Linked DNA regions of Diceros bicornis minor. The protein of the gene in region 3 interacts with the protein of the main gene of each other region in a pairwise test. Links are inferred from orthologs where the notes say so. Each region holds a gene or a part of one and is shown on either strand. Other genes may lie near its edges.

The links. The genes of interacting proteins can lie anywhere in the genome.
Region 1: the proteins of SDCBP2 (region 3) and C1H1orf35 interact in binary tests that used the Homo sapiens proteins (3 or more experiments, as listed by UniProt). The two-hybrid records come from large-scale screens. The link is inferred for Diceros bicornis minor from reciprocal best matches to the Homo sapiens genes SDCBP2 and C1orf35.
Region 2: the proteins of SDCBP2 (region 3) and PRPF38A interact in binary tests that used the Homo sapiens proteins (3 or more experiments, as listed by UniProt). The two-hybrid records come from large-scale screens. The link is inferred for Diceros bicornis minor from reciprocal best matches to the Homo sapiens genes SDCBP2 and PRPF38A.
Region 4: the proteins of SDCBP2 (region 3) and TNP1 interact in binary tests that used the Homo sapiens proteins (3 or more experiments, as listed by UniProt). The two-hybrid records come from large-scale screens. The link is inferred for Diceros bicornis minor from reciprocal best matches to the Homo sapiens genes SDCBP2 and TNP1.

The regions. Positions count from the first base shown.
Region 1 is NC_080740.1:360,013-367,550, forward strand, and holds C1H1orf35 (multiple myeloma tumor-associated protein 2), read right to left. Parts: upstream 3,007-7,538; 5' UTR 2,941-3,006; coding exon 2,847-2,940; intron 2,611-2,846; coding exon 2,460-2,610; intron 2,333-2,459; coding exon 2,287-2,332; intron 2,190-2,286; coding exon 2,107-2,189; intron 1,907-2,106; coding exon 1,834-1,906; intron 1,691-1,833; coding exon 1,587-1,690; intron 961-1,586; coding exon 820-960; intron 739-819; coding exon 663-738; 3' UTR 376-662; downstream 1-375. Other genes in the region: MRPL55 (large ribosomal subunit protein mL55), read right to left, coding at 5,450-5,599, 5,935-6,189.
Region 2 is NC_080752.1:14,733,753-14,741,033, forward strand, and holds the start of PRPF38A (pre-mRNA-splicing factor 38A), read left to right. Parts: upstream 1-4,275; 5' UTR 4,276-4,383; coding exon 4,384-4,513; intron 4,514-6,472; coding exon 6,473-6,632; intron 6,633-7,281. UniProt on the Homo sapiens protein: Involved in pre-mRNA splicing as a component of the spliceosome.
Region 3 is NC_080758.1:29,372,502-29,380,441, forward strand, and holds the start of SDCBP2 (syntenin-2), read right to left. Parts: upstream 3,004-7,940; 5' UTR 2,946-3,003; intron 1-2,945.
Region 4 is NC_080776.1:7,490,596-7,496,002, reverse strand, and holds TNP1 (spermatid nuclear transition protein 1), read left to right. Parts: upstream 1-4,531; coding exon 4,532-4,670; intron 4,671-4,872; coding exon 4,873-4,901; downstream 4,902-5,407. UniProt on the Homo sapiens protein: Plays a key role in the replacement of histones to protamine in the elongating spermatids of mammals.

The DNA.
Region 1 (7,538 bases), on a different chromosome or scaffold from region 3:
TGTGGAACAGTGGGCAGGAGGTCCCTTGGTGGCCTTGTGGGGACAAGGGTGGTTCCGGGTACAAGTCCACCCCCCACCATGATCTAAAGGCCCAGCCTAGCCTTCCACTCCTCTCTCCGTGCTCGCCCACCTGCAGCTGGGTACCTTCTGGCTCCTGTGACCTCCCTGCTGGCCAAACATGATGACCCAGGGCTCCCGGTGCGCCTGAAGTCACTTTCAGGGCCAGGCCCACATGAGGTCCGGAATGCCAACCGCCAGGACAGTTCCCCCTCCCAATGGGGCATCAGATGTCTCACTGGAACCCAAGACAATCGCCACGTTTTCACACCTCCTTCTACTGTGACACATGACAATGACCTTCCCTTAAATACGAGATGTTTTCTCCTTAAAATAAGTTTATTTAAGTACAAAGAGTAAGTCAACAGAAAGAAAAATAGAAATGTAGCTGTGTTTAGCTACAACTAAGCATCTCAGGGGTCTTGGACAGCTGGACCTCCCAGGCAGGCACGTCCTCCCCTGCTGGGTCTGGGCCCCTCTCAGCTCCCAGCAGGGCCCCTGCATGCCAGCCCTCCAGCTCCTGGGCCAGGAAGCTTCGCTGAGGGTGGGCCTCTGGGCAGGGCCCACAGAGCAGCGTGGTGGGGCAGGGCCCCAGCCACTGGGCCTCAGTCACCGTCTTGCCGTCGCCGCCTCTTGCAGCACGGTGAGGAAGAGTCGGAGTCATGCCTGCGGTGCCGGGGCCTGGGGAGATGAGGTGACGCCCACAGGTCTGAGGGCCGCCTGCCCCACCCTGCCCGCCCCCCAAGGCAGAGCTTTGCCTACCCGGTGGGAGTTGGGGGTGGCGAGGAGGCCGCCTCCGCTCTGTGTTGCTCTTCTTTTCTCCTTTTCTCTTTCTTGTGCTTCTTCTTTTCCTTCTTCTTCTTCTTCTTCTTCTCTTTCCTCCTCTTCCTGTGGCTCTCGGGGCTGTGGGGAGTACAGAGTGCCGGGAGCCACTGCGCCTGTGGAGCTCACCGGGGGGGCAGGGCCCAGAGCTTCATGTCAGTCTCCAGGACAGCCACTGACCATGTGTGCTTATGTCGCTCTCAGGTCAGTATGTGAAGCTCCTCAGTATGACCTGCGCCAATGGCTGCCGTGATGGGCGGTGCAGATACGGGCATCCCGTCATGGCAGAGGGTTCTGCCCAGCAGCACCAACCCAATGGTCTCACGGCCCCTTCCAGCCCTCCCTCCCACCGAGCTTGCCCACACCCTCCCAGCCAGGCAGTGAGCCCTGCCCTGCACCACATGCAGCTCCTGCGGCCTAGAGGACAGCAGGAGGCGGTGGTGGGCCCGAGGCCTGACTACAACGTCCCCTGTCTGGCTGCCCTCCTCCATGGCCCTCTGCCTTGCTGCCCTGGCAGCTCTCACACCGTGTGGCTGCCTGACCCCTGCTGTGTGCTGGAGGACAGTCATGGAACCATTCCCAACTCCCAACCCGAAGGGGCTCTCTAGAAGGAAAAAGGGACTAGAGCTAGGTACCTCACTGACAGAAGAGGCAGCCAAGTGCAGAGAGAGAGAACCCTGCATTCTGTTCCCCAGGGAGGCCCTTACCCCGGCTCCGTCTTCTCCTCTGATCGAGGTTTCTTCCGGGCCGAGGCCGGGGAGGCCCCTGGCCGACTGCTCTCCACGCGGTGGTGCTGCCGAGGGAAGCCACTCTGGGGGTGTGCAAGGCACTGAGATGCCGACCGCGGAGAACCAGCCCCGGTTTTCAGAGCCAGGAAGCCGGGAGGCCGCCCCCTACCCTCAACAAGAAGGACCCAGATGCCCTCCGGGATTGCGGTTGTTTGGGGGTGATTACCGTGAACACGGACAGCCCCAGCTTAGCAGCCTCCTTGTCTTCTCGGGACAGTGCCACTCGGCCTGCAGAGCCACTACAGGGACACGAGTGAGACCCGCCCCCAAGGTGAGACCCCCTCACGGTGAGAATGCACCCAGAGTGAGACATCCGCCCCCCAAAGTGAGAACGACCCCAGGGTGAAACACACACACACACACCCCGCCACCCGCAACAGTGAGACCCACAGGCCTCCGCTGCGCTTCCTGGGGCCCCAGAGGACCCCTGGCCCCGCACCTGGAGCTTCCCAGGCCTAAGAGCCGGTCCACTCCCTTCTCCTCGGGGTCACCTCCTTCCCGCTTACAGACCTCGACAAAGTCCTGTGGGGAGTGAGGGAGCGCGGGCGGCAGGGCTAGAAGCAGCGCGGGGTCAGCCCCACCCCCTCCCGCACCCTCTCCCAGAGGACCCAACCCTCACCTCCTTACTCAGGCCCGTGGGCTGCTTCCTCACGTTCCTGTAGCCTCTGCGGGGGGCGCGCGCGAGCTTCAGGGAGCGGTGGGCCTCACCTCGGCCCCCGCCCCCACCATGGCCCCGCAACCACCCTCCCTAGCCGCCCGCCCGAGGTCCCCCCTCACCCCGGGCGCACTCACAGCGCCGCCATGAGCGCCTCCTGCTCCGCCTGCCTCACGGCAGCCAGCTCCTGCTCCCGGCTCAGCCCCGCGCCGTCCGCCCGGCCCTTGGCGTACCAGGTGAGGTCGCGGCCCTTCTGCCAGCGGCCCACCGGGGCCATCAGCGAGTTGCCTGCGGGACGGAGCGCCGAGGACTCGGCCCGCGGGTCGGCGCGCCCCTAGGCCCCGCGGCACCCACCCGCGCGCCCACGGCCCCCGCGCCCCCCGCGTCCGCGCGCTCACGGCCCCCGCGCCCACGACCCCGGAGTCCCGGCGCCCAAAGATCCCGCGTCCCCGCGCCCACAGCCCCCGCGTCCCCGCATCCACGGCCCCCGCGTCCCCGCGCCCACGGCCCCGCGCCTCGCTCACCCAGGTAGTTCTCCCTTTGCTTGTCGGTCTTCACGTCCTCCCAGCTGAACTGGTCCTGCCCGCCGCGCACGCCGCCCCGGCTAGAGCCGAACATGGTGCGAAGCCGCCCACCGCCCTCGGGGCTCCCGGTCCCCGGGCTTCTCCGCCCCCGGCAGCGCCTGTTTCCGCTCCCGCGTCGCGCGCCGTGACGTCACGCCCGCGCCAGCCCTGCGCGCCTGCGTACTGCCCCGCCCCGGCCCCGGACCGCGTGCAGAGATGCGGAAGCGGGAGCCGAGCGCCTCGTCGGCGGGATGGCTGTTGTGGGAAGTCAAGCATGTGGATGTCCGGGCGGTGCCAAGAAGGGCGGTGTCGCCCGGGTCCCCGCTGCCGTCACCGACGACCCGGCGCGTCCCGGCGATAACGGCCCGGGAAACCTCGGCAGGGCTGCGGCCCGCGGGACGCCGGGCAGGGTCTCCGAGGGACCGGGACAGGGTGTCGCACGGCTGTCACCCGCACGCCCCGAGCACGCGCACACTCGCTGCCTCGGCGTTGCCCGGGCAGTGGCGAGGGAAGTGAGAACAGGCCGTCCGCCCAGCTCTCCTCTGACCCCGCCTTCTCTGACTCCCTCGCCTGCATTTTGGGGGCTCTGGGGCTCCCAACGTGTGTCATGCCCTACCACTGAGTCCTCTCGGTGGGGAAAGGCTTCCACGTGTGGCCCGGAGAGCACAGGCTCGCCTGGGTGGGCGTCCACAATGGGTGCTCCAGGTCTGCCCCTGCTCCCGCTTAAGGTCCCGCAGCATGGGACAGCAGGTCCAAAGCCACAGGCGTGCCTTCTGCGGGGTCCCAGCTCAGGCAGACTCATCACCGAGTCCCTTCACGGGAGGAAGGAGCCTGGCGTGGCAGGAGGGTGTGGGGCACGGCGTGATGGCGGCCGGGATGGGCGAGGCAGGCTCGGGAGGCAGCCCTGCGATGTTCGACGAGGACTAGATGCTGGGAGGAGCAGGGTGCCGTCAGTGGCGGGGATTTGCACATTGGGGGTCCTCAGCGCAGACAGCATTTGAACTCCCTAAAGCGGGTGGGGTGACCAGGGACGAGAGCAGATGGAGGAGGCCTCGGAGGGGCTGGGGGTCGCATCAGGAGGCCCCCACGACCTAGAAGGAGCTGGCACAGATGGGATTCTCTGCTTGAGTGCTCTGTTCTGGCTCCCCGGAGCCCTCCAACCAGGCCTTGGGCTCTGGGTCCATTTCTGCCTCCCCCGGCTTCCAGCAAGAACCCTACTGTCAGCTTACCCAGAATCCTCACCCTTGGTATCTCATCAGCTTCCTTGTCCCCCTTGGACAAATGACCACCCAGCCTGGTTTCAGCAACAATCCCCTTACATGGGTTTAGCCAGAACCACCCCCCATCCAAATGAGTCCCCTTAGTAATTTCCCATCGCCAACCCCATCCTGCCCCTGGGCTACAAATCCGTACTGTCCATGCTGTACTCCATCTCTCCCACTGCTAGATGCCCACAGTGGCCCCTGCACCCACGGCTGTGCCCCAACCCTGAGCAAAGGGGGGGGCTCCAAGAAGGCTTTCCAGGTGGGAATGAGGCAAGAACTGCAGGGGAGACGTCCCTGAGCAGGCAAGAGGGCAACGACTGGAGGGCACAGCGACTGGAGGGCACAGACACAGGTGCAGCTGCACCTGGCCGCTGCTCGCAGTGGACCAGCGGGTGAGGGCTGCAGGAGGAGTCCAGAGGTGGGTGCTCAGCCCAGCATCCTTCCCCACCAGCTGCAGTCAGATGCAGTGACCCCCCCCATAGGCTGCCAGCTCCTGCCTCCCTGCTCATGCCTGGAACGCTAGCCCCCATCCGTATGGGGTGGTCTGCAACGGGCTCTCAGATTTAGGAGAAAAAGCCTGACAGCCAGGGTCCCACAACGCCCCAGAGCCCGAGGCCCCAGGACAGGATGAGGAGCAACCCCAGGCCTGGGCCCGGGCAGCTGCACTTGGAAAGGTCGGGCATTGCCCCCTTGGGTCTTGCAGGAAGCCTGGCCAGGGTGAAACCAACCCCTGGAACACAAAAGTGTTAGTGAACTGTGGAAGGCCTGGCTCACTGCAGCTGCAGTGGGCTGCAAACCAAGGGCAGTTAGCCACAGAGACTGGGCGCTTCCCCTGGCCCCTCTGTTCTCGCTGTGTCAGGTAGGGCTGAGGTAGCCCAGGGAGGGACAGGCAGGCCTGCTGCAGGCTTCGCAGGGTGTCCTTGGATCCCAGGTATCCGTCTCTTCCCACCCACTTTCCACAGCCACTGTGCCCCGAGGCTGAGGGCAGCACTGGGGGCAAGGGGGCTCTAGGCTCCAAGGGGCCAACTCGGGTGGTGGGCACTTCCCACACAGGAAGGAGCACCCATAACCTCAGTCTTGTTTCTCCCATGTGGATGGCTTACATGCCCTGTGGACCTCGTCCTAAAACACAAATTGACCCAATTCTAAGCATTCTAGTTGGCTGAGTCGCAGAGAACCCCCTCACGGCTGGGGGTGGGGCAGACAACAAGGAAAGACAGGCAGAGGTGGCTTCATGAACACATGATTTAAAGACACGTCCCCCCAAGTGTCCCAGGCCTGGGCAGCTTGCAGGCACGGTCACTTTTTGGTCCAAAACCGCTTGTACCGCTCCACGTCAAAGTCATCAGCAAGCTCTGGCTGCTCCTCCTCCTCTCTGAGCTGGGCCTCCTGTTTCCGGAACCTCGCCCGCCTCTCCGCTGGGGACAGGGCATCCAAGTCCACAGGCATCTGCAGGGAGGGAGGGCACTGGGATGTGCTCACGCCTCCTGTTCTCCTCCACTGCACAGGTCAGGGTTAGGCGGCCTATGGCGTTCTCTCCCTCTGGAACTTTGACTCCTTTAAGAACCTTTTTGTGCTTATGCTCCCAGGACTTGGTTCTTTTTAAACCCACAGCTCCCTGCTGCTGTGTGATCTCGGTGCATGGAGTGAGCCCCGGGTTCGCCTCCTCCCCATCCTGGTTCACACAACAATCCTGCTGCGTGGCTCATCCTCCCTCCCCATGCAGTGGGGTTCCAAGCCCACTAGGACCTGCAACCCAAGGAGCGCTAGGGAGAGAAGCTTACCGCCAGCATCCGTCGAGGCTCCCGGTATCGGATGTGGATGGTGGAGCCGTCCTGCTTGACCAGGAGCACAGGATAGAGGCGTGCATAGGCCTGCCGGTGCACGCGCGTGAGCCAGGCTCTGCTGCTGTCAGCCCTCCGGGAGGACGTGTGCAGGCGGCGGCCCGCGGGGGTGGCCCCCATCACCACACACTGCCGCACCAGGCTGCAGACACACACGCGCTGGTCAGCGGCTGGTGCTGGGACCAGAGTGCCCATGTGGCCCAGGCTGGCCAGCTCCTATAGGGGCAACCGGCAACCCAGGCCAGGCCAGGATGTGGTCAGAGCAAGTCCTCCACCACGTCCAGGAAGAGGCCATGGGAGTGAGCGCACCACAAAGCTCCCAGATGGCTAAGAACAGAGATCAACAGCCGTCTCTAATGAGGCTTGGCCATGCAGCTCAGGTGCTGCATACAGGCATCGGGAAGGAAGCTGACTTCCGGGAGAACAAAGACCCAGTGTTATGGGCTGAACATTTGTGTCCCCCAATTTCACATGTCAAAACCGTAAGCCCCAATGAGATGGCATCCATCAGGAGTGAGGCTTTGGGAGGTGATGATGATTAGATGAAGTCATAAGTACGGGGCCCCCCTGTAAGAAAACAGAGACCAGAACTTGTTCTTTCTAACATGATACAAAAAACCAGCTGTCTATGAACCAGAAAGACAGCCGTCACCAGAACCCGACCCTGCTGGCACCCTGGGCTGGGATCTCCAGCCTCTAGGATTGTGGAAAATAAGCCACCTGGTTTGCGGCATTCTCTTGGGACAGTCTGAGCAGACCAAGACACCTGGAGTCCCCTTGGCTTCTGAATGTGGCAGACACTCGCCCTCCAAAGAGACAGGAAAGGGCAAGGCTAGGCCCCATTCACACTGCTCTATCTGGACGCGTGACCCCACACCTGTCTCTCACCCACTTGGGGCCTCGTCCCAGCCTTGCCCTGTGACCCCCAAATCCCTTGCAGCCCGGCTTTCATGCATTGGACTCACACCCGAAGCTGTGCCACAGGCTGGGTTGGAGAATGAACGCGTCTGAATGACTGCCAGAACTTTCTGGAATTGGTGGGCACTCCAGAAGTGGCCACGTTCTCCCAGTGTTCTTCTGGACACGCACAGTGGGAAGATGTCCTGAATACTTGCCACAAGCCTCCCCTCACACCACCCCCCCACCTCCGCCACCCCCTCACCACGTGGGCAGTCTAGTCCAGCCCAGACCATCCCAATGGCCTGCCTGGTCCCCACTGCCACTCTAGTCGAGTTCCCATACTCTGCGGGTGGTGATTCTAAAAACTTGCTGCTCACGTCACTCAGTAGCTCCCACCCAGCTTTCGGGACCTCTCCCTCCACAGGCCAGCCCACCTGAGCACAGAGCCCCTGCCTTGGGGGGAGTTCCGCCACCCCTGCACTTCCCGAACCACACCTTGGACTGAGGGCTGATCTCCTCCACTAGACTCTGATGGCCTCAGCGCAAAAAACTGCTCGAAGTCCCAGAGCCCTAGCTGATAAATTTTGGCAGAATGAATCCAGTCCCTGCCTTCAGAAATGGGAGAAAAAACCCGCACCTGAGCA
Region 2 (7,281 bases), on a different chromosome or scaffold from region 3:
GGTATTTTTTAGTATACTTTGTGGAAACTATTTAGCAAAAAGAAGAGAAGATATTGAGCCACTAGTAAATACACAGCTTAGAAATGATGCCTGAATGATTCCTATTAAGAATATTAAGAGGAGGGTCGGCCCGGTGGCACAAGCGGTTAAGTGCGCGCGCTCCGCTGCGGTGACCTGGGGTTCACCGGTTCGGATCCCAGGCGCGCACCAACGCGCTGCTTGGCAAGCCATGCTGTGGCGGCGTCCCATATAAAGTGGAGGAAGATGGGCACGGATGTTAGCCCAGGGCCAGTCTTCCTCAGTAAAAAAAAAAAGAAAAAAGGAGGATTGGCAGATGTTAGCTCAGGGCCCATCTTCCTCACACACACACAAAAAAGAATATTAAGAGTATAATTCACAACATAGTACTATTAAAATCAATCTAAAATGAACTTATATTCATAATATCCAATAATCTTTTGGTGAAAATTAGTAAAAGTGTTTGAATCTCAATAAATGTTCAAGGAAATATATAACACACTAACTTACCTTCAATATGTGTTCCTTATAATGGATGCTGTAACACAGAACTGTCCGAAGTAAACTTGAACTTTTCACCTTTCCACAATGAAATCAGGCAAAATAGGCTACTGAGACACAGACCAAAGATGCAAGTAAATTGCAGTACTCACACTAAACTCTGTCATTAAAAAAATTGGACTATCCTAGAGTGCTTTGCAGCAAATTGGTAACTCCAGCAAACTTTCTACAATTCCTGAATAATCTAACTGTAGGATAAATGGTCTGATTTGTCATTTTGACTATAATATTTGATCACACTGGCACAATGATCTCATTTTTTCAAACTAAAAATTGGCATACAGAAGGACTGCCTCTGTACCTATAAGGATACATGTATACCTAAGGCATCAAAACCCATGCTCTCAACTCTTTTAAATCCAGACCGTATTTCAGCTTACTAAAGCAGGCATCCTCCTTCAAAAACCAAGCCAAGATAAAATCTAACATTTCTTTTCCAAGAGATCATGAGCTGTGTTCAATGAGACCAGTATATGCTTATATGAGTGCAAGGGTGGGGGATTCACCCTAGGCTGAGCAGGCAGGGGTATTGGGAGGAAGGCCATCTGGGCCTGGACCACTTAACCTGCCTCACCTTGGTCTATCACTCTGCTCCAGACCTGCTTTTCCAAACCTCAAACAGACCAAGGTTGTTAGTGCCCTCAGACTTAGGCAGTTGCTGTTCTCTCTTCCTGCCTATCTTTACAGGGATGGCTCGGATCTCAGCTCCAATGAAACTTCCTCAGAGAGGCCTTCACTGATAGCCAATGAAAGTTACCCTCCCACCCCCTTACACTGCCCCTTAGGGTCATGTTCCATTATACCACCCTATTATCAAAGCAACAACCATTATATTACTTTCTTATTTATTTGCTTCCCACATTAGAATGTTAACTTCCAAAAGAGCAGAGATCTTGGGACCTTGTCTATCTTGTTCATAACTGCATCCCCAGGGCCTGAGACATAATAAGTGAATGAATGAATGAATGAACAGGTTTTAAAAATTATTAGGCCAACACCAAATGTGGTGAGGATATAGAATGGCCAGAATTCTCATACACTGCTGAAGAGCATGTAAATTGGTAAAATTACTTTGGAAAATGGGCAGTATCTAGTAAAACTGAACGTATACATATCCTATGACCCACCAATTCCCACAGAATATACCCTACACAAAAACATACATATCATCAAAAACATGAACCAGAATGTTTATAGCAGTACTATACAGCAATGAAACGAAACCAACTACAACTGCATACAACATGGGGAAAAAAATCTCACAAAATAACAATGAGCTAAAGAAATCAGACACCAAAAGCATACACACTATATTGATTCCATTTATATGAAGTTCAAAACCAGGTTAAAGTAACCTATGGTGTTAGAAGTCAGAATAGAAGGTAACCGAGGTGACTAAAAGGGAGCATGGTGGGGAAAAGGGGCGCTTCTGGGGTGAGGTCATGTGGTTTCTTGATCTGGATGCTGGTTACATGGGTATGTTCTCTTTAAGAAAACTCACTGATGATTTATGATTTGTGCACTTTTCTGTATGTATGTTATTTTTCAATAAAAAGTTCAAAAAATTAATCAGGAGTCCTTCTGAAGAGGCAGCATAAGAAAATCATAGTAGATGTCAGGCCTCTTTGGACTGTCACCCCAGTTTCTCACCCTCAATCTACCACCAGCAGAGAGAATCCCCAAGAGGGGTGATGAATGGGGTAGAATGGCAGGCCCGACCAACTACAGGCTCTCTTAGTTACAGATACCAGAAATCTGGAACATACACACCATCCAGTCCAGGGGCCACACCCAAGGAAAACAGATAAGGGAATTGCGGTGAAAATAATGATAGCAGATACTTATTGAGCCAATATGACAGAAGGTGGAGCCAAAATACATGATATATTTATCTCATTTAATCCTCACAATAATCCTAGAACAGCACTAGTACACACTAAGCGCATAGTAGGTACTCATAATAAATATTTGCTGAATGAAAGGTAGATGCTATCATCACTTCCAGATGATAACTTGTCCCAATGTTATACAGGACGGCACAGCCTTAATTTAAACCCTGATTCCAATGACTGTGCTCTTAACCACTTCACATTACAGCACCTTGTGTGCAAGTAGATGCTAACATATGACTGAGAGAGCTTGCTTCTGGTGTGCTTATTCAGCAAGTCAGGGTTCCCAGTGACTGAGAGGTCAAATGGGCCTCAATTTCCTTACCCATAAATGGGAATAATAATTGAATCTTCCTTTTATTCAACCAATATTTATTGATCACCAATTGTGCGCCAGGCACTATTCTAGGATTACTGAGGACTAAGCGAGAAAATGCAAAATGGTAAATTCATTCCCCTACTCCCTTAATCCCTTGCATTTATTTGTAAGGGATAGTGGTTCTACTTTTTTTTCCCCCTTACAAATTCGATGAATGTTATGAAACATATACAACTCACACAAAATTTTGCATTCAATTTCAGGAGTTTCATAAACCTTCTAAAGTCCACATATTGCCCTCTGTTACAGTTAAAAACTGTTTGCAAAGGGACTTAGTAAAACTATGCTCTCACATCAGAAACCTCCATCGGCATTCACAAGAACCCAATACAGCAGAGAAGAGGGTACCATTTTTATAAACAACTAAAATCGAAATCTGACATATCTACTCATTGCAGTTTCACAGACAGAAGCCCGGGATAAGAATCTCGGATCTCATGCCTCTAAGTCCAGTGCTTTTTCCAACTGTCAAAATAGAAGGACTTTCTATTCTAGGGTTAGACTAGAGGAGGTAGAAGAGATGCTATTAGACTTCTCTCCTGAAAAGGTGGATGAATGAGAGCCCAGCAGTTAAGAGCAGCTCATCTGGAAAAAGGAGCCCAGGCCGCAGAGTCACGAAAAGCGACCTCAGCAAGTCTCTCTCTCTGCGCACTTGCTACAACCGTAAAATGGGATGATAACTTCTGCGGCTCCGACTTCCCTGTGGTGCTTGCTACACTACAGCTCAAAGGAGGAAAAGATGCGAATGCTTCACAAACGCAATGCAGACAGAAGGGATGGTTAAGACCATTATTGAGAGTCTCAGGGCGCTGAGGACACGAATGTTCAGGCTTCTCTGCTGTTGGCTTCCGGCTTCCCCACCGCAAACTCGCAGTCCCTGGAGGAGCGGGAAGCCTTTGAGAAATAGGGATGTGGAAGAGTCGTGCTCCTAATGGGCTTAGAATAGAGCCTGGCATTCAACAGGCGCTTAGTAAATATCTGCTGATTGAATCAACGACTGAGTGAGTCTACAGAGAACAACTTCCTCCGTCCCCGCGGCTCAGGTCGCCGCCCTCCAGCCCGCGGGACACCACACTCACCGGGCCCGGAAGCTTCCTGGAAGTAGGTGCGAACCTTCTGCTTCCCACCGTCTCCGCTTCAAGAGCTCGTGGAGCTGCAGCAACTCTAACCCACCCCAGCTGGGCTCCTCTTAGGGCGCCGTGCGCACGCCCGAGCCGTAGCGAGCTGCTCGCCAGGGATGGAAAGAAGGTGGAAAAAAGAAAATTTCGCGCCAAACGTTCCGTCATCACCCGCCCCGCCCACTGGGAGGGGACGTATGACGTGAGTCGGCCAACGTGCGGTGGCCATCATTGATTCGGTCGCCGACGCCGTTCGCGGAAGGAAGTTCGTTACGCTGCAGCATTTCCGGTTTCCAGACGGTCGCCTAAGCTGTGTAGTGAGACTTCCTCCACCTTTCTCCATCCGTCTCGGGTTTTCTGTAACCGGGATGTGACGCGTTCAAGGACCCGACGGAAATAGAACTGAAGGCGTTCTAAAATGGCGAATAGAACAGTGAAGGATGCGCATAGCATCCACGGCACCAACCCTCAGTATCTGGTGGAGAAGATCATTCGGACGCGAATCTATGAGTCCAAGTACTGGAAAGAGGAGTGCTTTGGCCTTACGGGTGAGCGGGAGCGCGCGACGCCCCTCGGCCGACTTGTGGCCCACTTCGGCTGACTGGGCGCGGGTAGACTTGCCCCGTGGGGGTGAGACTGGAGGGAAATTTGTCAGTCATTCGGAAAAATCTGAGCGCCTACTATGTGCCTAGACTTGTGTTGTTCTTTGGGGGACACAGATGAATCTGATAGGGCCTTATTCGGAAAGGTGTCTCGGTTGGGTTCTTTGAGTCATTCCATGTTTAATGATAACCTGCTGGGTTCCAAACAGTGTTAAGTTCAGAGACCCTGAAGGTCTTAAAGGAACGTCAACATACCGGAAACCAAATTCATGATCTTACTATCCCTAAATCTGGACCATTTGCAGTATATCCACGTTCGGGTCCTAATGTAAATGTCGGTTTTCAAAAACGTCTTCCAGCTAGTCTTTCAATCTTTGAATTCTGGCTCTTCTAGTAGCAGTGTTACCCCAGTGAACCATGGCTTCCTTTATCTTAAAACGAGTGTAATACCCACCTCAAAGGGTTGTTTTAAGGATTAAATACAATAATGTATTAAAAGTGTATGGTATGGTCACAAATATATATTAATAAAAAGTACTCAGTAATCAGTGGTAGTGATGGTGCTAGTTGTTACCACTGTTAACTGCTACTGTGCTGTTACTGCTGCTGCCACCACCGCTAGCTGTGTGTCTGTCCATGGACAAGTCATATTGTTTCTCTGAGTCGCCATTAAATTTTGAAGTCATATAAGGTTTACTTTTGGCCGTTTTCACATTCCATAGTTCTCTCCTTGGAAGATCTCCTCCATACCACAGTTACATCCTATACGTAGATACCTTCAAATTTCTCTCTCCAACCCAGATCTCCAACCCTGAGATCTAAATCTCTAATTCCAGGAATACCAACTCAGTATGTCCAAAAGTGAACTCATGACCTCTTTTCCCCCCAGTACCAGGTTACCTTCCCGTGTTCTGTATTTTCATTGCATTCTGCCTCTTCTTTCAACTACTCGTCACACTTTGAATTATTTTTCAATGCTTTCTGGCTTGCTAGACTATAAACTCCTTAAGAGCAGTAATCGTGTCCCTCTTCTTTATTCCTCTACCTGTATCTCTAGTACCTAGCACCTAGCTATAAGTTGTCAACTGTAATTTTGAATGAATTAATATAGAATTTATCCTAAAGGAACTTGAAGTCTGATTTATAAAATGATTTCCCATTAATGGTAGCTAACATCTATTATTTGCTATGTGACAGGTAGGTATTAACATTTATTTGTATTGTCTCATTTGATTCTCACTGTAGCCCTTAAACTTTGTACCTTTATTATTCAAATTTGAACTGACAGACTCAAAGGGAGGTGAAATGACTTGCCCTAGTTCACACTGCTAATGTTTGATTTTGACAAAAACGTTGAAAGGTTATTATCCCCATTCTGTAGATGAGAAGAGGTTTGCTCAAGGTTATGTAACTATTGAGGAGTTTTTTGTTGTTATTGTTTTGTTTCTTTTAGCTCCTAATCTGGCCATTTTTCCCCTAACATGATGATGACAAGCAGGGACTCTGAAGTTAGACTGCTTAGATTTGAATCCAGGCCCTGCTACTTTCTGGCTGTGGACCTGGAGCAAGTCACTTAACCTTTCTTAGCCTTCATTTGCCTTAGCTAAAAGCAGAAGCAGTGCTAGAATTTACCTCATGGCTTGCTGTGAAGATTAAATGAGAAAATATGAAATGCTTAGCAGAATACCTGGCATATAGTAATCCTTAAGTGTATACTAGCTGCTATCATTATTATTATTATTACTATTATTGTTAATACACACTTGTTCTCCTAATCTTAAACTGTTGATGAGTATTCAGGAGGACCAAACCTTGAACTAACTTCTCTCCACTTCAAACCGGGAAAAGCTTAGCCCTAATATGTCTGAGATGCCACTCTATTTGTTTTTGTTTTTGTTTTTTTAGCTGAACTTGTAGTCGATAAAGCCATGGAGTTAAGGTTTGTGGGTGGTGTCTATGGTGGCAACATAAAGCCAACTCCCTTTCTGTGTTTGACCTTGAAGATGCTTCAAATTCAACCCGAGAAGGATATCATTGTAGAGTTTATCAAAAATGAAGATTTCAAGTGAGTGAAATGTTGACTAGCTAATATAAAAGCTTCAATTTTGGTGGTCCAGAATTTGGCCTTGCTTAAGAGGAGTGAAAACAATGTGTCTCCTTTGCACTGAGAGTTCTACTCTAGGATCTTGCTCTTGAGCTCTTGAGTTTGTATTTTGTCTGTTCTGGTTGTATTGATCTTGTCCTTTACTTTCTCCGTCCCGGTAATTTTTCCTACCAAAAAGTATTTCACAAACTCACTTAACATATTTTAAGCAGAAGTGAGTGCCTAACATGTTGGGAGCACTGGATACTCAACAGTGAAGAAAACAACAGAGTGTGGTAGATAAAAGTGAAAACTTTGATGTTAGATGTAGATTCATGTCCAGACTCTGTTACTTATTAACTGTGACCTTGGAGAAGTTACTTAATTTTCTAAGCCTTACTTTCTTTACCTGTAAAATGGAGACAGTAATACCAACTCAGGCTTGTTGTGAGGAATAAAGAAGATAGTACGGTAAATCTCATAACACAGTGCCTGGTACATGGTAAACACCTCAAAAATGTCAGCTGCTCTTATTATTTTATTATCCATTCTTTTTTTTTTGTGAGGAAGATCAGCCCTGAGCCAACATCCATGCTAATCCTCCCCTTTTTGCTGAGGAAGACTGGCTCTG
Region 3 (7,940 bases):
GGGAGTTACCCTGCTCTTGAAGCCATACCCAGCTCTTGCCCTCAGGATAAATCTCAAACTTCAACTTGGCATTCAAATCTCCGACTCCTGGTACCATCTCCAATCTCACCTCCTCACTCTTCCACACTCACGCTGCATTTAATACATTCCACACTGCTGATCCCAGAACTCACCCTGCTAGTTCACGCCTACGTGCTTTTGCAGATGCCTCTGTCTTGAATGCCCTCTCCTTCCCCCTTGTTCATCTGGTGAACTGCTCTTCCTTCAATTCTAAGCTTTCCCCCAAATCCCCACATCCACACACACACAGTTAGGCAAGCCTCCCATTTCTAGACCACAGAATCTCATATTCACCTGTTGATCCTTCATTCCACTAATGTTTATTAAGCACCTCCTGTGATCAAGGCCCCCTGCATTTCCTGGGTTGGATTTCCACTGTGTTGTATTTCTTGCCTGTCTCCCTCTCTGGTCAGGAATGTGGCTCATTTCTGAATCCCCAGTGCTGCACCCAGTGCCTGGCATACAGCAGGCGTTATTGTTTCTTTTTTTTTTGGTGAGGAAGATCAGCCCTGAGCTAACATCTATTGCCAGTCCTCCTTTTTTTCCTCTTTTTCTCCCCAAAGCCCCAGTAGACAGTTGTATGTCATAGTTGCACATCCTTCTAGTTGCTGTATGTGGGACGCCGCCTCAGCATGGCCGGACAAGCGGTGCGTCGGTGTGCGCCCCGGATCCAAACCCGGGCCGCCAGTATGGAGCACACGCACTTAACCGCTAAGCCACGAGGCCGGCCCCTGTTTCTTAAAGGAGTGCAAAAGCAGACACAGAGGGCAGAGGAAAGCCCAAAAAAGTCCTTTAAAGGAAAACCCTGGGCCTAGAAAGAGAAAAACCACTGCCCCAATGAGGTAGATTGAAAGGTTGGCTCCTACAATCTGACAGTGGAAGAGTTTGCTCAATTTCAGTGCTGTTGGCTTCTGGCAATTAATTGGCTCCTCTGAAAGGAAAAGAAGCCATCTAACCCATCTATCCCAGAGGCATTTTCCTCTCCCGCTGTGCTTTGCAGAATTTCCATCCCTGAGCTTCTGTACTCTTTGGTATTATAAGCAATAACAACCAACACCCACAACAAAGCAGCAGTCGGGTCCTCAGAGATCAGCAGGGGCTGGCAGCCCCCATCTTTGGAATAAGAACACTCCTTCAGAACACTTTGTTCCAGAGAGCTGAAACTCTGGGACTCCCACTTGTTGCTGTGGACACCTCATCCATCCTTCAGGAGACTGTGCAGGAGGGAGGCATGGGTTAGAGTGTCAGAGGAGTAGCTCCTAGAAGGCCACATTAGCCCCGGGGTATGGAGGGGTGGGAAGGAAGAGGCTGCTGCTAGGCCACCAGCATGTACCCCCTCCCCCCAGGGCTGTACTGCCTGCTGGAGAAGAGCTGTGGACTTCAAGGAATGCAGAGGCTCCCAGTCCAGGCCCAGGAGGGCCAGGGCAGGAGCAAGGATGTTGGAGGCAGGCAGTACCGCGTTCAGACTGCTGCCTCTGACGGGAGAGCAAGCATGGACAAGTCCCTTTTGAGTGTCATTTCTTCCTTTGTGATATGGGTAACAATACTTGCATCACAGAGTTACTGTGGAGATTAAAAGATTCTTAAAAAGAGGTCAGATGTGTTTGGAAAGCACCCAGCACAGTACCTAGCACGTAAAGGGCATGCAGTAATCGTTAGCTATTGTTCATTTATTCAGTACATGTACTGAGTGTCCAAGTCCCAGTACTGTTCTAGGTACCAGTAATAAGGCAGTGAACAAAAGAAAAATCTGTCCTTGCGGAGTGTCACTTTCTAGGTAGATAAATAAGTGGGTATGCTGTGTTAGATGGTGGGAAGTGATGGGGAGAAAGATAGAGCAGGATGGGGGATAGAGACTGTCAGGAGGTCCAGAAGAGTCTCACTGTTGGCGGGGAAGGTGGGTGGAGAGTGACTTTTGAGTAAAGTGGTAGGGAAGAGCATTCAGGCTGGGGCTTAGCCGCTGTGGCCGCCCTGTGGTGGGAGTGCCTGTTGTGACCAGTGAGACTAAGTCAGTGTTCAGAGGGGAGTAGCCGGAGAGGAGGTGGGAGAAGTGGTGTGAGGGCCCGATCCTGTAGGGGCTTTGGGGCATGGTGAGGACTTGGCATTTACTCTAGTGAGATGTGAGCCACTGGAGAATTTTGAGCAGCAGGGTGGCGTGGTCCAACTTCCATTTTAACAGGCCCCCTCTGCTGATGTTTGGAGAGCAGACTAGAGGGGCAAGGGTGGACGCAGGGAGCCTAGGTGAGAAGCCATGGTGGTGTTAGAATTGTTACTAGTTTGGGCCACTGGGTGGGAAGCAGCCAGTGTGGTGCCGGCCTGGCACACAGCAGCCTCATTTTAAGCACCATATTCTGAAACTGCTGTGTGGAGGGCACATATTGATGTCTTAGGTCATTATCTCATTCAGTTCTGATTGCGTGGGGATATTTCCAGTCTCCAAATGAGGAAACCAGTTCTCAGAGAGGTCAGGCCACCGGCCCAGTTCCCCAGCAGATTTTCCCTGCCATGGTAGGACGTTGTTGGTAGAAATGGCTTCAGGCAAAGAAGTGAGTAACAGAAGCTGAGGATTGGCTCTTTGCCTGGCCTTCCAAGGCCTACTTCAAGGAGCAAAGTGGGGGTCCGACCTCCTTGAGCACTGTCATACGCAGTCAGAAGGAGCCGGGGCCCTCGTGATGTTTGGATAAAGGTCACTCAGCCCTCACTCCTGGCCCAGGGCTGGAGTCAGAAGAGGAGACCCCAGTCATACTTCCCTCCCAGAGTGAAGCACCTTGAGAAGAAACTGCCTGGAAGTCCCAGAAGGGGCGGGCCAGGGTGGGAATGAGGCAGGTAAGAGCAAGTCTCGCTTCTCCCTGTCCCAGCCACGACGGGCCCAGCCCAGCTCTTACCTGCAGGCCAGCTGCTGCTGCACGTCCTTCTCCCGCCACTGCCCAGAGTGTCTGTTCCTCTCCCTGGAAAGTGGTGGCCCTTGTCCCAGCTGAGTTCCTGCTCTGGGAAGGGTGGCGCCTACCCTGCTCAGCTGACTCACCTGGGACTGGGATGGGCCAGGTAAACAAGGCAGGTGGCCAGGCCTGGAGGAGGACTTTGGCCTTACTCTAGAAGTGGAGGTGGGTTGGGGGCACACACAGCTGCTGCTGGGAGGGGTGTGAACAAGACTTGGCCTTGAGGAAAGTGGATTTGGATTGGACACCTGGTCCTGCTGAATGTGAGGGGAGTTTGATGGGTATCCAGGGTCTTAAAAAATGGCCAAACCTTGTGACCCAGTATTGCTGCTTCTAGGAACTTGTTACAAGAAAATAAACAAGTAGGCAATGAGGGCCCATCGCTGTGTGGCTTATAATAGGGGAATCTGGAAATCCCAAATGCCCATCACTAGGGTCTGGCCCAATAAGCCAGTTTCTATGGAAGTTCACCAAGCTGTTAAAGTCGCTTAAGGAAACACACCATGAGGAAATGTTCCTGAGATACTGCAAGATATTGAAAAATCAGAATTGCGGTTCTGATTTTGGGTTTGGTTTTCGTTTTTGAAAAGTGGATGAGTACTGAAAACAGTCTGGAAGGAAATATACTAAAGTGCAGAAAATCTGGATGGTGGTGGGATTGTGGGTGTGATTTTTGGTTTGTACTTTTGTGTAGATTCCAAGGTGGTGGGATTTTGTTTTGTTTTGTTTTGAAGTTAGTTTTTGCTTTGAATACTTACGATTTTTTTAAGGGAGGAGCAGCAAATTAAGTTTAATTGTTTTAAAGAGGAATTTAGGGGGCTGGCCCTGTGGCGTAGTGGTTGAGTTCGTGCACCCCGCTTCAGCAGCCTGGGGTTCGCAGGGTTTGGATCCTAGGCGTGGACATACACACGGCTTCATCAAGCCATGCTGTGGCAGTGTCCCATGTGCAAAATGGAGGAAGATTGGCACAGATGTTAGCTCAGGGACAATCTTCCTCACCATAAAAAAAAAGGAATTTAGGGCCGGCTCCGTGGCTTGGCGGTTAAGTGCGCGCGCTCTGATGCTGTCGGCCCGGGTTCGGATCCCGGGCACGCCCCAAGGCACTACTTCTCTGTCCAACCCGAGGCCGAGTCCCACGTACAACAACTAGAAGGATGTGAACCTATGGCATACAACTATCTACTGGGGCTTTGGGGGGAAAAAAATGAATAAATAAAATCTTTAAAAAAAAAAAAAAAAAAAAGGAATTTAGATTGGTTGTCTCCAGAAAGGGGAACTAAGGGGGCTGTGTGCTGAGTTGGGAGGGGGTTTATTTTTATAGCACACTTTTTGGTGCCTTTTAAAGTTTGAAATATTTGAATGTATTACCTATCCCAAAAAGAACCATATAAAATTAAACAGAAAAGGGGGAGGAATTTAGTTTAGGTCCTGGTGGGTTTGGTTGGACAGAGGTGCCTGTCACACATGGTGCCTGGGGAGGGCCTGGGACCCATGTGCTGGGCAGTCCCATGAGGAATGACGCAGGGCCCCCACCCAGGGTGGGGCTGCTCACCAGGCCAGGCAGACTCACGTCACAGTCCTCGTGACTAGCTGGGCAGAGGTGCACTAGCCTTGGGTGTCAGATCCTGCCTGGGGGCCCAGCTGGTGTTCAGCCCCATGGAGGAGACACTGCCAGCCTCTGAGAAGTTTACAGCCGAGAGTCCCACACAGGAGCCCCGATAGGAGCAACAGCAAGAAAGGCAGTCGCCACCAGTTGAGCACTTACTGCCCGCTGAGCGCAGAGGTGCTGCCTGTGTGCCCGGCAGCTTTAAAGGCACTATCTCCATGGTGTGTATCATGCCTGTGAGGTAAGTAGAGAGGCCAAGTCCATCTCAAAGTACACAGCCAGAAAGTGGCTCCAAGGTCATGTTTTCTCTTCTGTGAGACAAATGCTTCTGGAAGCTCAGGCGTGGACACAGCCTAGGGCTGAGCCACAGGAGCCTGAAGCTTGAGGTAAACCATAGGTGGACTCGCCTTAGTCCAGGTCTTCAAGGCCAAAGAAAAGTAGAAAATGGAGACCCTAACTGAGCCAAGTGACCCCCCACACACACACCTGAGTTCACTCAGTCATGGTCTGAAAGGGCCGTTAAGAGAAGACCGAGAAGGAGACCAGCCCAGAAGGGTAAGGGCCTTGCCTGTGGCCACACAGCACGTCAGCATAGACGAGGGACTGGAAGCCAGGTCCCCTAACCCCCACCTGCGTGCAGGGGCCCTTTTTCATTCCATGGTGTTATAGCCACCTCCCATTTCTAACTTCTCCCCTTATTCCAGGCACCAAGAAATATCTCATTGGGTATGCCCTTGCTCGGAGTCTTCCGTGGTTCCCAAGTGAAAGGGGGTGGAGGGGGAGGGGCAGGGTCAGGCCTGACACTGAGGCCTCCGTGGTCCACCCCTGTTATTACCTTTTCACCTTCATTCCCCCAACACCTTACCCCAGCCAGGCCAGAATCCTCTCTTCTCCCACCTCCACCTCACACCCACTTCACACTTCCGTACCTTTGCCTGTGCTGCTGCTTTCTCCTGAAATGCCTTCCCCCTGCCCCCACTCCACCTAGCCAAGTCCACTGAGCTCCTCTTCCAGGAAGCCTCCCTGATCATCCGCATCTGTGTGGCCTGCCCCAGCTCTGAGCTCTGGGTCAGGCTGTCCTGTTCCTGTGGACCTTAGGCTACCAATTAGACCCTAAGTTCCTTGAGGGCAGGGCCTACTAATTAGATCTACAGTGGCTATTTTCAAAATAAAAATTGGAACTTGTGCTCTGACCAGGATGTATTTCTGCTTTGTTATATGCATTTGTATGAGTAGTCTTCAAAAGTCTAAAACACGGGTATCCAACATGCAGCATACACGCAGAAACTCCCTGACAGCACCCTGCCAAGCCCAGAGCTGGCTCAGAATCCTCATAATGTGACAGGCAGCTGCTGCCACCTGGATTTGACCTGTGAGAAACCTCTGTGCCATCTGGAGTGGGCACGCCATGAGGGTGGGGGCTTGTCGGTGGGGATCTTATCCCTAAGGTCTAGCACCATGCCTAGCACACGGTCGGCTCTCATTAAATATTTATTGAATGAATAAATGCCCCTCCAAGAAAAGTCACTCTTAGTTATAAACTGAAAGGCTCACTCCTGGTCAAAAGATGGGCTGGGCTGGGCTATCAGTCTGAGCTACAGTTTCCACATCTACAAGCCTGCTTTACAGGCTTGTCCTGACGATTAAATGATTTCATCATGTACAGTGCCTGGGACACTACTGGCACTCAATAGATGTAAGTTTCTGACTTCCTCTTGGAATCAGCCCAGCTACAAGTTACAGAAGCACAAGTCATCTGTTCAAGTGAAAATGGAGATGCCCTTCCTGGAAGAAGCGGGGATGGTTGCTGGGTGGGGAGCTGCACCAGCTGTGCACTCCTACCCTCTGCGTGGAATCTGGCTGTGGCAAAACCCAGGGTACGTCACCACAGCTGCCTCCACACTACCGAGTGATTACAACAGGGGGAGCTCCTGCTGGGCACGGGGCATAACCCCGTCTCAGCTGTCCTTCACAGCACAATTCAGAGAGTGACGCACCTTGCCCAAGGCCACACAGCCCAGTGGTAAGGCCAGGCCTGTGCTGAGAACGGAACGAAGCCACCTGAACTCCAGGAGTCTCCCATCCCCACAGCTGAGTCATAGATTTCCCAGGTGGCAGCTGGGGGCCCTAGTGAGTCAGAGACCCATCACTGGCTGATGTCCCCCACTCCCTCACACTTGTCCGTCACATATTCCCACCCAGTGCCTCAGCCTTTGACTGGAAGCATGGACGCCGGCTGGAGACCCTCACCTCTAATGTCCTCAGGATACCCGAAAGTGATGATATCCTGAAGGGGGCACAGCTTATCGCATGGGCTGTGGAATCCAGCCTGCCTGGACTCAAATCCCTACTTTTAGGCCATGTGACCTTGGGCAAGCCAATTTACCTCTCTGGGCCTCAGTTTCCTCACCTGTGAGATGGGGATAATGACTTCACTTTGTGTTTATTAGCACAGATAAAGTACTCGCACAGAGCCTGGCTCATGAGAAGTGCTAACTAAATTTGAACTATTTTAATACTCACGTTACTAGATTATTGCATTATCCAAGTGAGAAAAATGTATCCATTGCTCTTCTAAATGTGATTGAAGGTCAAACACAGAAACTACCTGCATCCTTTCTGGAACACAAGTCCAGGTTGGACTCTCCCTGAGACGGTTACTATAGAAACTTCCAGTGAGAGAGAAGCTAATGTCTGGAGAGACCCCACTCCTTCCCCTTGGATCCTCTATTTCTCCAAGTGCAGTGGCCCCAGCCCCCTGCAGCAGAGACCTCTGGGCAGGGGACACTTGTTAAAAATACAGATCCCAGGGGCCCACCCAGCCTTGCTGCGTCTGACTCTGGGAGTGGGTCCAGGAATGGGCATGTGACTTACCTTGCCAGGTGATTCTGATGCAAATTACAACCATTGTCTTGCTCCTCCTTCCTGACTCAGTTTCTTCTCACATCCAATGCCTACAATGTGTTAGGCAAGGGGCAAAGGGCTTTCCATCGCTCACCTCTTTTTAACCCCAAAACATACACAAAGTGACAGTTGGGGTGCTGTGACATAAGGAAACTGAGAGGTGTGCTGTGGGCCCAAGATCACACACGTGGTAGGTCGTGGAACTGGGATTCAAACCCAGAACATGACTGCATTCCCCTTGCAAATGTGCACTCTCCCATAAACGCAGCTTGTGCCACCCTCATTACTCTGGGCCTGGGTCTAATTTTGTAATTTCCTGGCGGAAGCTGCTCGCTCCAGCCAGCTCCTTGGCTAGAGGCACAGGAGGAGCATCTAAATACACAGGCAACTTGGGGTAGGAGAAGGTCAGCAGTTCAGAGAATAGCCTTAAA
Region 4 (5,407 bases), on a different chromosome or scaffold from region 3:
AATAGAGTGGGGAGTCAAGGCCAGATCTATTTTTAAGTCAAGTACAGAAGGCAGTATGGAGTGGTGGGCAGTCTTCAGCATGGGAATCAGCAATCTTGGGTCCAGCCATGGTTCTTCCGCTGCCTGGGTGAAGCCCTTAGACAAGCGTCTTGACCTCCCAAAGGAGAGGGGCCAGATGGTTCCTGAGGAGCCTCCCAGGACCACCACTCACGTGATGAGTCTCCCGCCTTTTAGCAGCCCAATCTCTTTCTTCCTAGAAAACAGGAATTGCTTATGGAAAGACGGTTTAGGAATGCAGTCAGAAAGCATAGGAGACCAGTCTGGAGGAAAAATGGGAGAGAACCCCCACAAATCTTCAGGCAAAACCCAGACCATCCTCAGAACCAAGATGCTCCCTTGTTTCCCAGAACTGATTAGAAAGAGGTGAATGGAGTTGAGGTCACTTCTTCCTTTTTCTCTGAAAACCACCCCTTGGCCTTGGGCTCTTTGTTTCTCTTTATTCCCTACTGGAGACACCAGATGAGTCCTGAGCTCAGAGAGCTCTGCCCCTTGGTGAGACCCCTCTCTCTGCAGCTCTCGCCCCCACCAGCCTGTCCCTGAGCCCCCCTTGCCTGTCTGGACAGCAGCAGCAGCAATAACAGCAGAGAAGACAGGGTGTGCACGTGAACAGAGTAGAAGGTCCCCACTTCCCAGCTGAGGTCAACATCTGGAGAGACTTAGGTTTCAGAGAGGGATTCAGTCTGAGTCATCGACATGTGTGAGGACTGTCAGCAACTTTTCCATGTTCCCTCTTAATAAGCCCCAATTCCTGGCCTGCTGGGAAGACTCAGCCCTGGGAAGTCCAGCCCTTGGACTCCCCAGGAAAATTAGTGCAGTGAGTTTGAATTGGAGAGGCAAGATGGGACCCAACTAGACACCCAAAGCCTGCCCCTTCCTAACCTAAGAAAGGGACCAGTGGGAGCGCAGGCCTCCAAGCCCTTCCCTGCAATGCCACTTTGGCCATCCTTCTAGGAGATAAAGACACCATCCTGTCCATCCACCCTGTCTCCAGGCAAGATAGCACTCAGCCCCAAAAGAGAAGGAGCTGATAGCTCTTCTTCTAAAAAAGACAAGAATTCATAAAGTTCTCTCTTTATGTCCCAGTAGCTATCAGAAAATATCTATTTCCTTTCATCAAGAAAAACAAAAGCTAAGATCCACCAGGAAGCCATAGAACGGAGGAAACAGGTTTACTGGAGGGTCTCTGCTACTCCTGTGCGGGGTTATTTGAATTAGCTCATATAGTCGCTCTGCACCTCAGTTTCTTCATCCAAAAAGAAAAATAAAAAAGAGAGTACAGAAGAAAGGGTGAAGAGACGGTCAGCAGACTGGATTAACGGACAGTTCTCAAGAAAAGGCCAGCTCCGGGTCCACTGGGGGTGAGGAGGGAACTCATTGTGCTCTATCTAAATTGCCATTGGCTCAAACAACACTGGAGCAGACATGGAAAGAGAAACAGAGACAGGCAGCAGTGCCTAATGCTCAACCCTGCTGTGTCCTCACTCCAGGAGGTCTGACCCAGAAGCCAACCCAAACACCCCCACAACCCCACTCCCGACCGGCCTGCGAATTGCCTCCCCTGACACTGGGCTTTCTGCTGCTTGAGTTTCTCAGCATGGTGTATGAAACCAGACCTTCTCCTTAACCCTAGGCAAAGGGGACTTCTTTGTTTATTTGGTTCATCAGCTCTCAAGTCTGGCTGCCTTCTAACCTGTGATCTCAGCTTCTCCTTGGCAGAGTGGGTCTTTTGGGGATGGGAGGGATTGGGGAGAGAAATATTATCCAGTCTCCGGGACCATCCAGAAAATGCCTCTCAAACTAAAGAGGCCAGTTCCTCTGTGAACGTTTTAGCCAGCAGGCTCAGGCATGAGAGGCCAACATGGAGCACCAGAGGGCCTGTTACGGGGACAATGTTCTTTTATCTAGAAATGCTTCCCTTATCTAGAAAAACCCTTCCTTATGTAGAAATGCTCTCACTTGGTATACAAAGCCACTCCGTGTTAAACTGTCCTCAAAACACCAAAGTAGCTAGGAGCTAGAGTGAACAAATGTTTATTGACCACCTACTATAGACCGTGTCAGTACCTGTGGGAAACGCAGTAGAAGTAAAAACTACAGCCCTAACTACAAGGAGGTACCGCAAAAGTCAGATCAGCTCAGAGATCACCTAACCCGACCAGCTTATTTACAAAGTAAGAGACCTGAGTCCGGAGAAGTGATGCTCATAGTACAGTCAGGGCCAGAGCCAAGACACATTGTTTCCTGTTGAAATCAGACTCACCAACGTGACACAACAATGTAGGCACAAAAGACAGCCTTTCACATAGTTAGGGCTGACTGTTTAGACTTTGAGGACAATATTACCCATGGACTTAGGACAACTTTCAAAGGACAGTGAAAAATTGAAAAATCGGGGATATTTTCCTTGGAGAGGTGGGAAAAAATGGAGTGGAATAGGATAGTCAGAAAAATAGAAGGACTTTTTATTTATTCAACAAACAGTCCACAAATTCTGATTGGGCTCCTACTCTGTGGCAGGACTGTTCAATGTCCTGGGAATATACAGCAGTGAACACAATTTTTAAATTCCTGCTTCCACGGAGCTTGCTTGTAGGAGGAACCTCTAGGCTGGAGTGGACAGAAAAGTTCCCAGGATCCAAGGAGTCATGGTAGCAGCCTGATTCACAGACCCCCTCCCTCTCTGGGTGAATAACAGTCTCAACAGAAGGTCTCCAGAGAGACCTGCCTGGACACAGGAAAATGGAAAGTGTCTCACTTATGATGGCTCCTCAAGGAGTCTGGGTTTCAAAATCTTATCTATAGACATCAGAAATACAGAGAGTGGGGTTTGAACCACATTCTCTCTTCTTTTCAACAAACTTTTGCTAAGAACTTCCCACATGCAAGGTGCTTGGTTCTTGAATGAGGATGATGGGAGGGACAGAAAGAAGAAATAGTTATCAAGTTCACTAAAACTTGTTTCAAAAGGACTCAATAGAAAGTATAAAGGAGGAAGAAGAAAAGGTTAGATGATGAATCCAACATCAGGGAGGTTGGGAAAGGTGGATTATCTTCAGCTCAGACTTCTGCTCTGATCTCCAGACCCATATACCCAACAATCACTCAGTATCTCTATTTAGAAATCTCAAAGGCACCTCAAACCTGATATGTCTTAGACCAAATGCAGGCTCGTCGCTGTCCCCATGCCTGGCCTTTATCCTAGTGAGTGGCACTAGCATCCAGATAGCTTCATTACACTGCAACAAAAGCCACGCCTTTGACACTCTCTGCTCTCACCAACTAAATCCAATCCACCAGCACATCTTTGTCTCCTGTCTACATCTCTATATCCCAATCAACACTCTCCCTGGCCCACGCCTAAGACACTGTCAAATATCTCTCTCCTGAATCAGTACTATTGGCAATAGCCTCTCCTATTCATTTCTCTTCCCCATAAACCCATCCTCCACCCAGCAGCCTCTAATCCCATCACATCATCCTCTTAAACATTGTTCCACAGTTTCCCAACGTACTTGAGCCTGGTCTGGTCTCTGCCTCTCTCTCCAACCTTATCCTGCACCATGTTAGGATGTAATTATCCTGCACCACATTGGGAAGTAATTATTTACTGAGTTTGTGTAGATGTCTGATTAATGGCTTTCTCCCTAACTAGGTTGAAAGCCCCCATGAACACAGAGTTTATGTCTGTTCATATCCACTATTTTCCTAGCACCTAAGTGCATGGCATGTATTATGAGATCAATAAATATTTGCTTACTGAATTTTTTAAGTGGTTAAGCCAATGGTTCTAACCAAGGGTGAGAACATTGTCTCCCTCCAAGGCAATGTTTGGAAACATTTTCGGTTGTCACATCTGCAGGGGATCTACTAGCAACTAATGGGTAGAGGCCAAGGATGCTGCCAAACATCCTACAATGCACAGGACAGTCCCACAAAAGTACTTAGCCCAGAGTGTCAGCAGTGCTGAGGTTGAAAAATTCTGATTTAGATGAAAGAGAAGGAATATTTATATTTTGACCATGTTGAATTGGATTTCCTAGAGTCAAGTTCTTGTAGACATACATTTGTTATCTCCTAATGCTATAAAAGAAACTCAAACACACATGCATATACACACACTCAACAACCATTACATTACATCTACAGGCAGGAGATGCATTCTAATGGTCTCTTGTACTCCTCAGAGGCCTGGCACAGGGCTGGAATTTAGTCACTCAATAAACTTTCCTGTCTGGAAAGCCTCATTTAACATAAAAAGGACCTCAAAATTGAAAGTAGCCTTGAGCTGCACTAAAGGGGCAACCTTATTTCACATATATGACCAAAGTGTAACAAAGGCTGGTGACATCACAATGGAGCCCCGCCCACCTGCTGAGCCACGCCCCTTCACAGTCACAATGGCTAAAGCCTTAAATACCCAGGCCCACGGCCTCCGGGCCCTGCAAAGCCCCCCATTTTGGCAGAAATTACAATGTCGACCAGCCGCAAATTAAAGAGTCATGGCATGAGGAGGGGCAAGAACCGAGCTCCCTACAAGGGAGTCAAGAGAGGTGGCGGCAAAAGAAAATACCGGAAGGGCAGCCTGAAGAGTAGAAAACGGGGTGATGATGGTGAGTGAGGGATGAGCAGGAGAGGGGTCAAATTGGGGAACCTGTTGCCCAGGGGCCCTCTTTCTTGGAGTTAGCTCTCGTAGCACCCTGAAATCTCAGCCTGAGAATTTCATTTCCAGTTAAATTCACATTTGGGCGGGAAGAGGATGAAAGGGTATGTTCTAACTGGTGTCCCTGTTGCAAACATGTCTTTCCCCCACAGCCAATCGCAATTACCGCTCCCACGTGTGACCCCAGCAGCAGGCTCTGCCCTGGTGGAATTCAAGCGACGCCAGGCAGGGAGAGGACAACAGAAGGGGGACTGCCAAGGAGACCTGAAGTCAGATCAAAGCCAGAGAGAGCCTATCGGGTGGATAAAATGCCAATCATGACAAAATGAGGAATGTATATGTTGGCTGTTTCTCCCCAACGTCTCAATAAAATTTTGAAAACTGAAAAGTATGTTTCCTTTGATCTTTTTGTTCAAAAAGGGGTTCCTGAGCTAGGCAGACTTGGGGAAGAATTGGCCAGTATGAGATCATTAAACTTGACTTGGAAAATATCAAAGTAATTTATCCTTCTGAGTCTCCCCATGTGCCCCAACTATGGCTGTGCACCATCACCCTATTTAGGTCTTGGTCTTGATGCACTATCTTCCTCTCCAACATGGAAAGGTAGAAGAGATTATGGGAGAAATGCATTCATCAGAGTGCCAATTACAAGCCACATGATACAAGCTGGTTTTAAGTGACTTATAG